Linked DNA regions of Saccharomyces cerevisiae S288C. Changing the gene in region 1 together with any one later gene gives a genetic interaction. Each region holds a gene or a part of one and is shown in the gene's direction. Other genes may lie near its edges.

Region 1 (4,320 bases):
TCGTCCAACATGTCTCTTGGGATGACTTTTTCAATGATCTCGGACTTTAGTTGCGCTCTTAAGTCCTCGGTCGTGATTTCGTCAGCATGTTGAGCGGAGACGACGACGGTGTCGATTCTTTGTGGAACCCATCTACCGTGGTCATCCTTGTATTCGACGGTGACTTGAGTCTTGGTGTCTGGTCTCAACCACGCTAAAGAGCCATCTCTTCTCGCGTCAGCCATGGCCATGTTTAGTTTATGAGCCAAAAGAATAGTCAAAGGCAAACCCTCTGGAGTTTCATCTGTGGCGTAACCAAACATGATACCTTGGTCACCGGCACCGATGTCTTCCAAATCCTTCTCCTCGTGGACACCTTGGGCGATATCTGGAGATTGTTGCTCAATGGCGACAAGGACGTTACAGGTCTTATAGTCGAAACCCTTGGCGGAATCATCGTAACCAATCTTCTTGATGGTGTCTCTGACGATTTTTTGGTAATCCAACTGTGCCTTGGTAGTAATTTCACCAAAGACCATAATCATACCAGTCTTTGCCGCGGTTTCACACGCAACTTTGGAGTGAGGGTCCTCGGCTAAACAAGCGTCCAAGATGGCGTCGGAAACTTGGTCACAGATCTTATCTGGGTGACCTTCACCAACGGATTCAGAAGTGAATAAAAATGTACCGGCCATATTTTCGTTTATCTTATTTTTTCTTGTTTTTAGGGTAAATTCCTGGTTTTTACTCTATTTTTTTTTCGAAGCTAACCGAAAAACAACGATGAATAACAGACAACACCAGTCGATATATACGTCCCAAACCAATCCCATTAAGTACTAAACGGAAAACTTTTTACTCTTCCCTTTTTCATCGATACCAGAGTGAAAAACTACGATGAGGCTAAAATTTCCTCGAGACAAGAACCCGAAAAAAGAAATGCACTAGTAGGCAAGGGCGCCACCACAGTTTTCCTGTGAAAAAAAAAAAAGAAAGTATTCGTGTGTAGTGATATATAACTTTATCTTCAAATTCTATTTCCGTCTTACGTCCGTTTCGGTACCTTTTTTTCAAAAGATCTTGCCTGACATTTTTTTGAACAATATAAAAGTGCCAAGCGTGCTCATTATTGGAAGTGCGCACCAGGTGAGGAATTGAATGTTGCCATCAATTGTTTGAGTAAACACTGCCCATCTGCCACTTTCGGTACCCATCCGAGTACTTAGTAATAGAAATATATATTATGTCTAGTGCCATCGTTGCTAAACTGAACAAAGAGGACATCATTAAGGACACCGTCAAGGACTTGGCGTTCGAGATTCTTGGTGAGTTGTCGGTTTCGTACGTTGATTCTGACGACATCAAATTGGGCAATCCCATGCCAATGGAAGCTACGCAAGCCGCTCCTACCATCAAGTTCACGCCCTTCGATAAAAGCCAATTGTCAGCCGAGGATAAACTCGCTTTGTTGATGACTGACCCGGACGCGCCCTCTAGAACAGAACATAAGTGGTCGGAGGTTTGTCACTACATCATCACTGATATTCCTGTCGAGTACGGACCTGGGGGAGATATTGCCATTTCGGGGAAGGGTGTCGTGAGAAATAACTATATTGGGCCTGGTCCACCAAAGAACTCCGGTTATCACAGATACGTGTTCTTCCTGTGCAAGCAACCCAAGGGAGCGGATTCGTCCACTTTTACCAAGGTTGAGAACATTATCTCCTGGGGGTACGGTACTCCTGGTGCGGGTGCCTATGACTATATCAAGGAGAACAATCTGCAACTGGTCGGTGCCAATTATTACATGGTCGAAAACACGACCGTTGATTTCAACTATGACATGTAAGGTGCAGCAACCGGCTCGTATAGATACGGATAAGATAGAGTATATTGTGCAAACGCGTATATGAAATAGTGAATATATACATGCCGAACGGTTCCGTTTTTTTTTTTTTTGGCTCGTTGATTTTTCCTATCCCTTTGAACTTTTCTATCTTTTAAGGGATAGAGGGGCTGTTCAGGGAAGGAAAGATCTCAATTGGTATATAAAAAGGGGGCAGCAAGAAACGAATTGCAGTGCTCCTTTTCCCTACCAGTGCATCAATACAAGAACAAGAGAACAAGCAAAAAACATGAACCAAGCAATAGACTTCGCACAAGCAAGCATTGACTCCTACAAGAAGCACGGCATTCTGGAGGATGTAATTCATGACACAAGCTTTCAACCCTCCGGGATACTTGCCGTAGAGTACTCATCAAGTGCACCTGTTGCCATGGGTAACACGCTGCCCACTGAGAAGGCACGTTCCAAGCCCCAATTCCAGTTCACGTTCAATAAGCAAATGCAAAAAAGCGTACCACAGGCGAATGCGTACGTTCCCCAAGACGACGATTTGTTCACACTGGTAATGACCGATCCGGATGCTCCCTCTAAGACAGATCACAAGTGGTCTGAATTCTGCCACTTGGTAGAATGCGACTTAAAGCTGTTGAATGAGGCTACTCACGAGACCTCCGGAGCAACCGAATTTTTTGCATCAGAGTTCAATACGAAGGGCTCGAACACACTAATAGAATATATGGGACCAGCTCCACCCAAGGGATCCGGTCCCCACAGATATGTTTTCTTGTTATATAAGCAGCCTAAGGGCGTGGACTCATCTAAGTTCTCGAAAATTAAGGATAGACCGAACTGGGGTTACGGCACCCCTGCCACCGGTGTTGGCAAATGGGCTAAGGAAAACAACCTGCAACTAGTTGCCTCCAATTTCTTCTATGCGGAAACGAAATAGGTATATATATATATATATGTATATGTATTTATTTTTTAGATTTCAGTGCTTTTCACTTGACTTTTTATTATTTTTGTTTTATTTATGTTTTTGTCACAAACGCGCACATGTTTGTAGGGAGTAATGTCATTGTCAAACAAAACACATAAGAAAAACATGGTGAGATTATTAAAAAAGTGTATAAGTTTATAAAATGTTTATAATGATTATATAAGTTTGGGTTAGCCGAACAAAACCTTCACCAATTCCATATAAACACCGATCTGGAAGTCGTCCAGTTTCAAGCGATTCAGTTCAGGGGCCACGACAATTCCAGTGTTGTCCATGGAATAGTGGGACATCATATCCTGATACATCTCCCACTCAAACTTGTTTGAATCATAAAATTTGGAATCTATCGATAAATTGTTCGGTATAGCACAAAGCCAAATTCTTGTTTTGTAAAACTTAAAGAGTTCTTTGATCAGGTCTCTGAAATCATTACGCTCCTGGCAAATGTAGTAGAAAGTCAATTTCTTTCTGTCGAATTGGAACTCTGCATTCAATATTTTGATGTTCAACCCGCCACCGGAGTTATTGTTATTTAGCGACCTCAGTTTTAGCTGTGCAATGTGAAGAGCCTTTAGCTCATCCTGGAATTTGTTGTGTAAATTCGTGGAGGATTCCCACGGGGTGGCAAATCTCAGAACCTGCTTTGATGGGATGATCAATTGCGTTAGTTCAATGATATCATATAACTTCGGATTCAACTCATGAGCGACCGGCTTACCATTGGTTGTATCAACCAGAGTCTTGATAAACTGGTCATTGGGGAAATGCTGTTGACTATTGGTGATTAGAGAATCAAAGTGAATTTTTTTCTTCAAAAAATTTATAAATAGTGCCAAATTTATATCTACAACCGGTTCCACCACCAAAACTAAATCTTTACCACGATCACCATCAATAATGACCAAATCGCCCCTTTTCAGTATAAGTGTGGCCGTTTGTGGTTTAGACAACAGTTCGAGCTTACCATTTTTCAACGATACTAACACTAATGGCTTATAGTGCAAATGCATTGAAGTGCTGTTCTTGGATTTGGCCGCCCCGGTCGACGAAGCGTTTGAAACAGCAGTGGAGATGAATGCGTCAGACTGTGGGTTGTAATTCAGATTACAATTTTTCAAAAAATCCAAAAACTCTATAATCCTGGAACTGGAGGCGGAGACATTATCCCCGCGTAAAGTTCCCTTTATGCTGTCAATAAATTTATAAACTTTATCACTAGCAAAATAGTTTGACCCGCAGTCAAGATATAAGTCATGCAGCTCCTTGGATGACGTCAAATTCTTGCCGTCGACAACCGCCAATCCGGCATCGTTTGTGGGAGCGGCTGCCGGATGCAAGTTCAGCACTGGCTGGGTGTTGCGCCTAGCATTGAAGGGTGACGAGTACTGTTGCTGCTGAGTATACTCGGAAGGAGCAGTGTATGGTACTTGCAAAGATGGGTTGTTGTTAATATATACAGGTTGCGAGTATTGTGGTTGCTGGGTAGCCGCATTGC
Region 2 (4,057 bases), on another chromosome or scaffold:
AAAGCATCGACTACATAAATTCATTAGGACGCATTCCTCATTACCACCTGGGTCTAATTTTTATTTTGAAATTGATATTATTCTTTATATGATGAGGTAAAAAGCATTATATTCGTTGTAAACTCATATACTTATCCTCATTTTAGGCACCATCAGGGACTAAGGGCTAAAGTATCAGAGCCGCATTTCAACAGTGTACAGAGATTTTAGAAACATTATCACGCACTGCCTTTTGCTTTGTTTACCCGTAATGAGTATACAGTGGATTTTCTGGTGCTAAAGCATATTGCCCTTTCGGCAATACTTGATGCCCTAAACATTTTCATCCTGGAACATACGAGTAAGAGCACATTTATGTGCCTATATTCCTCGTTTTTTACTGGTGCTGAATTTCTTATTTTCCACAGATAACAATCATGTTAATAAATTATGCACTGTGCTAATTTTTCAATTAAGGTTCTATTACCCCTCTATCACCGACAGAAACACGTAATGATGTGTTATTTCCATTATAATTCCGTAAGAATGGTGTTTATAGGTAGTCTAAAGAACGTGCATCAGAGAAGAATGACTGTCGCAAAAAATGACTATTCTTTACCTTTTCAAACTTAACTGAGATAGTTATCTCTATTATTACCAGTGGCACACACGCGAACTACATCACTCACCACTATCGTCTTAGGAACTCAAGATTTTATAGTAATGCAGCCGAAGACATTCAAGTCCTGAGAGAAAATGTAGACATTTTAAGAAAAGTACCGGAAATAAAGCACATGTAAAGCATTGAGCTCTGTACTCTATAAAAATTAGCTGCATTCAAACAACAATGTTTGAAATTTTTGCAAAAGTTATTGAAAAAGATTGCTGTTTTCAGCCTTGTTCAGATCATGTCTCAAAAATGAGAAACTGGAACTCTCATAATCAGTACCTCGTATTTTTTTTTCCTTATAGTTTCGTTATTAAAAATTTTTTTGCTGCTAATTTAAGTACGCTTTTGGTCATAAATGCTACCCACCAGTTGAATTATTGACATGATTAAAATACATTTCAGAACTTTACGGATTAAAAACTTTAAAGAACCTTTCAATCCATGTTGCTGGAGGGCCATGAATCCACGAATTACAGCAAAAGAAGACAGTAACTACTTAGGGTTCAATAATTACTTGCATAAACACACACTAACAACCAAATCGTACTAAAATTTGCAATTAACAAAACTCCATCATATCACGCTGAATTATGTAGGGCTTCTTAATGCAATAGGTTGCCTGAATTTTGCTTACTCGTGCTGCCGGGAACACTTAGCAGTTGGGAGGCCGTTTCTCCCATATATTTCATAATTTTCTGTCCTTCTTAGAGTAGGATGCTGAAAATCAAAAGAAGACCGTCAATAGGACCAGATTTTGTGGGTCAATTTTGGGCCAGACACATGATACCCTAGGAAGTTTAACGGTATACAACTCAAGGACGAGGAGTATTCGGAAACTACCGGTTTTTAACAAGCTGCAAATTTCCAGTAGCTGTTTTGGTTGCGACTACGGATAAAAATTCATACTTTAGGAAGTGAAGCAAGATAAAAAATCATGCTGCATCCTAATTCGTGAAGTTTGTTAGGAATATTATTGTAAACAAGGAACCGTTTCAGTAAACTTGCTCTCTACTCTTCTAAGCTGTAATTTAAAAAAAGCGATAAAACAATGATTTTGATTATCTGCAACTTCTGGAAACTCGAGATACTACGCTAGACGAGATACCTATTAATTGTTTTCCTAAAAAATCAGGAACAGTTCCTGGCAGCTTTCGGCTCCTTCTTGTTCTGGAAAGGATCTTCAAATCCGCTTCCACGTAGCAGTCCTCGCTACGACTTCTTCTGAAGTATTTTGATTTTTGGCTGCATTTACCTTTTATTGCCGAAAATCTTATTTTCCAAGAAAAAAGCTTATTTTGCATTAAGTTTAAAAAATTTCTTCTTTCCCGTAGATTGACTTGCAGCGTCAAAATTCCGGAGGCCTCACGAGATTTTTTGACATCGGTTTTTGACATCTCTTTTTCCTTCCTTTTTCTTTCTTTTCCTGCGCACGCCGATAAAGAAGTAGTACAACAGACAACGTCAAAATGATCCTCTTGTGATGAAGCAAAAGAGGAAGAGTATACTCCTTTTCCGCTTGTACAAATATTTTTTTTGATAATAAAATTTGGCACTTCAGAGCTTATCGTATCTTCTCCCGGAGTTCCTCAAGACTTATACTTCAGCCCGTTTAGGAATGCATAAAAGCAAATAGGATTCGTTACAACTGCTGCAGGACTCTTTAGGACTGCATCAAGGTAAGCCTCGCTGCACCTAAACGCAAAATGTGGTTGTAACCTTTTTAATTTTTTTCTTGAACTTGTTGAGTCGTAATAAATCGTTTCTGGGAAGTGGAAGGTAATAATGTAATGGAATCGGCGTTACTCGCATGTGCAGATATCAGCGACAAAAAGTGTTGTAGGGACGTTTCGATACCAAAATTTCCTAAATACAGCGCAGGAACATCACTACGCTAAACAAATCGTAGCGCATACATCTGATCGAAAAAAGACAGTTCCCAAAACAATGACATATGAAGAGACCAGCATCAAAATTTTCATCATTAACAGCATGGCTAAAAGTTATTGTTTAATATACCCATACCTGATTGACGAACCAAGAAATGCCTTATCACTATTTATTTTTGGCACTCTTCACCTACCTGGCCACGTCCAATGTTGTTTCAGGAAGTACACAAGCATGCCTGCCAGTGGGCCCGAGGAAAAATGGGATGAATGTCAACTTTTATAAATACTCATTACTGGATTCAACAACGTATTCCTACCCGCAATATATGACTTCTGGATATGCCTCGAATTGGAATTAGGTTCCGTTGGCGGACAGACGGATTTCTCAATTGACTACGATCTTTCTTGTGTTATCTCTTCAGGAACTTTTAAATGTGCTCAATCAGATGCTTATGGAAACTGGGGATGCAGAGGTCATAGTGAATGTTCAAAATAGCCAAGAAAGACCTATTGGAGTACTGATTTACTTGGTTTCTTACTATCCCAAAAAACGCTACTCTAGAAATGACAGGTTACTTTTTACCACCACAAACAAGTTCTTACACGTTCAGGTTTGCTAAGGTCGATGACTCTGCAATTCTATCAGTCGGTGGTAACGTTGCGTTCGAATGTTGTGCACAAGAACAACCTCCAATTACATCGACGGATTTTACAATCAATGGTATTAAGCCATGGCAAGGAAGTTTGCCTGATAACATCGGAGGGACTGTCTACATGTATGCAGGCTACTATTATCCGCTGAAGGTTGTTTACTCCAATGCCGTTTCCTGGGGCACGCTTCCAATTAGCGTGGAATTGCCTGATGGTACTACTGTTAGTGATGACTTTGAAGGGTACGTTTACTCTTTTGACGATGATTTAAGTCAGTCAAATTGTACTATCCCTGATCCTTCAAAACATACTACTAGCATCGTCACAACTACTACCGAACTGTGGACTGGTACTTTTACTTCTACATCTACTGAAATGACCACCGTCACCGGTACTAATGGTCAACCAACTGACGAAACCGTTATTGTTGCCAAAGCTCCAACCACTGCCACCTCATCCAGTTTGTCATCATCTTCTTCAGAACAAATCACCAGCTCTATCACGTCTTAGCATCCAATTATTACTCCATTCTATCGCAGCAATGGAACTTCTGTAGTTTCTTCCTCAGTCATGTCTTCCTCGGTCATTTCTTCTTCTGCAACGACCTCCACTTCTACATTCTCTGAATCATCTAAATCATCCGTCATTCAAACCAGTAGTTCCACCTCTGGTTCTTCTGAGAGCGAAACAATCTTAGTGATTGCTGGCATGTCATTAGCGACAAGACGCTTATTACCGTAGTAGCCCCCCAAGGCAAACATCTCTTTATCAGTAATATCCAAAGCTGTTCAACTTCTCGAATTGGCCCAGGAAAAGAGCATTGGGGCGGCAACTAACTCTGGCATACTTACAGTTTCTGCTCTTGACAGCG

The links. Genes that interact genetically often act in the same process or in processes that back each other up.
Region 2: mutations in TFS1 (region 1) and YHR212W-A together harm fitness less than expected from each alone (positive genetic interaction), as found in Saccharomyces cerevisiae (one large-scale study listed by BioGRID).

Annotation. Positions count from the first base shown.
Region 1 is NC_001144.5:511,616-515,935, reverse strand, and holds TFS1 (Tfs1p), read left to right. Parts: upstream 1-2,114; coding exon 2,115-2,774; downstream 2,775-4,320. Other genes in the region: methionine adenosyltransferase SAM1, read right to left, coding at 1-674; YLR179C (uncharacterized protein), read left to right, coding at 1,223-1,828; YLR177W (uncharacterized protein), read right to left, coding at 2,996-4,320. UniProt on the Saccharomyces cerevisiae protein: Specific and potent inhibitor of carboxypeptidase Y.
Region 2 is NC_001140.6:536,052-540,108, forward strand, and holds YHR212W-A (uncharacterized protein), read left to right. Parts: upstream 1-2,690; coding exon 2,691-2,894; downstream 2,895-4,057. Other genes in the region: YHR213W (uncharacterized protein), read left to right, coding at 3,100-3,696.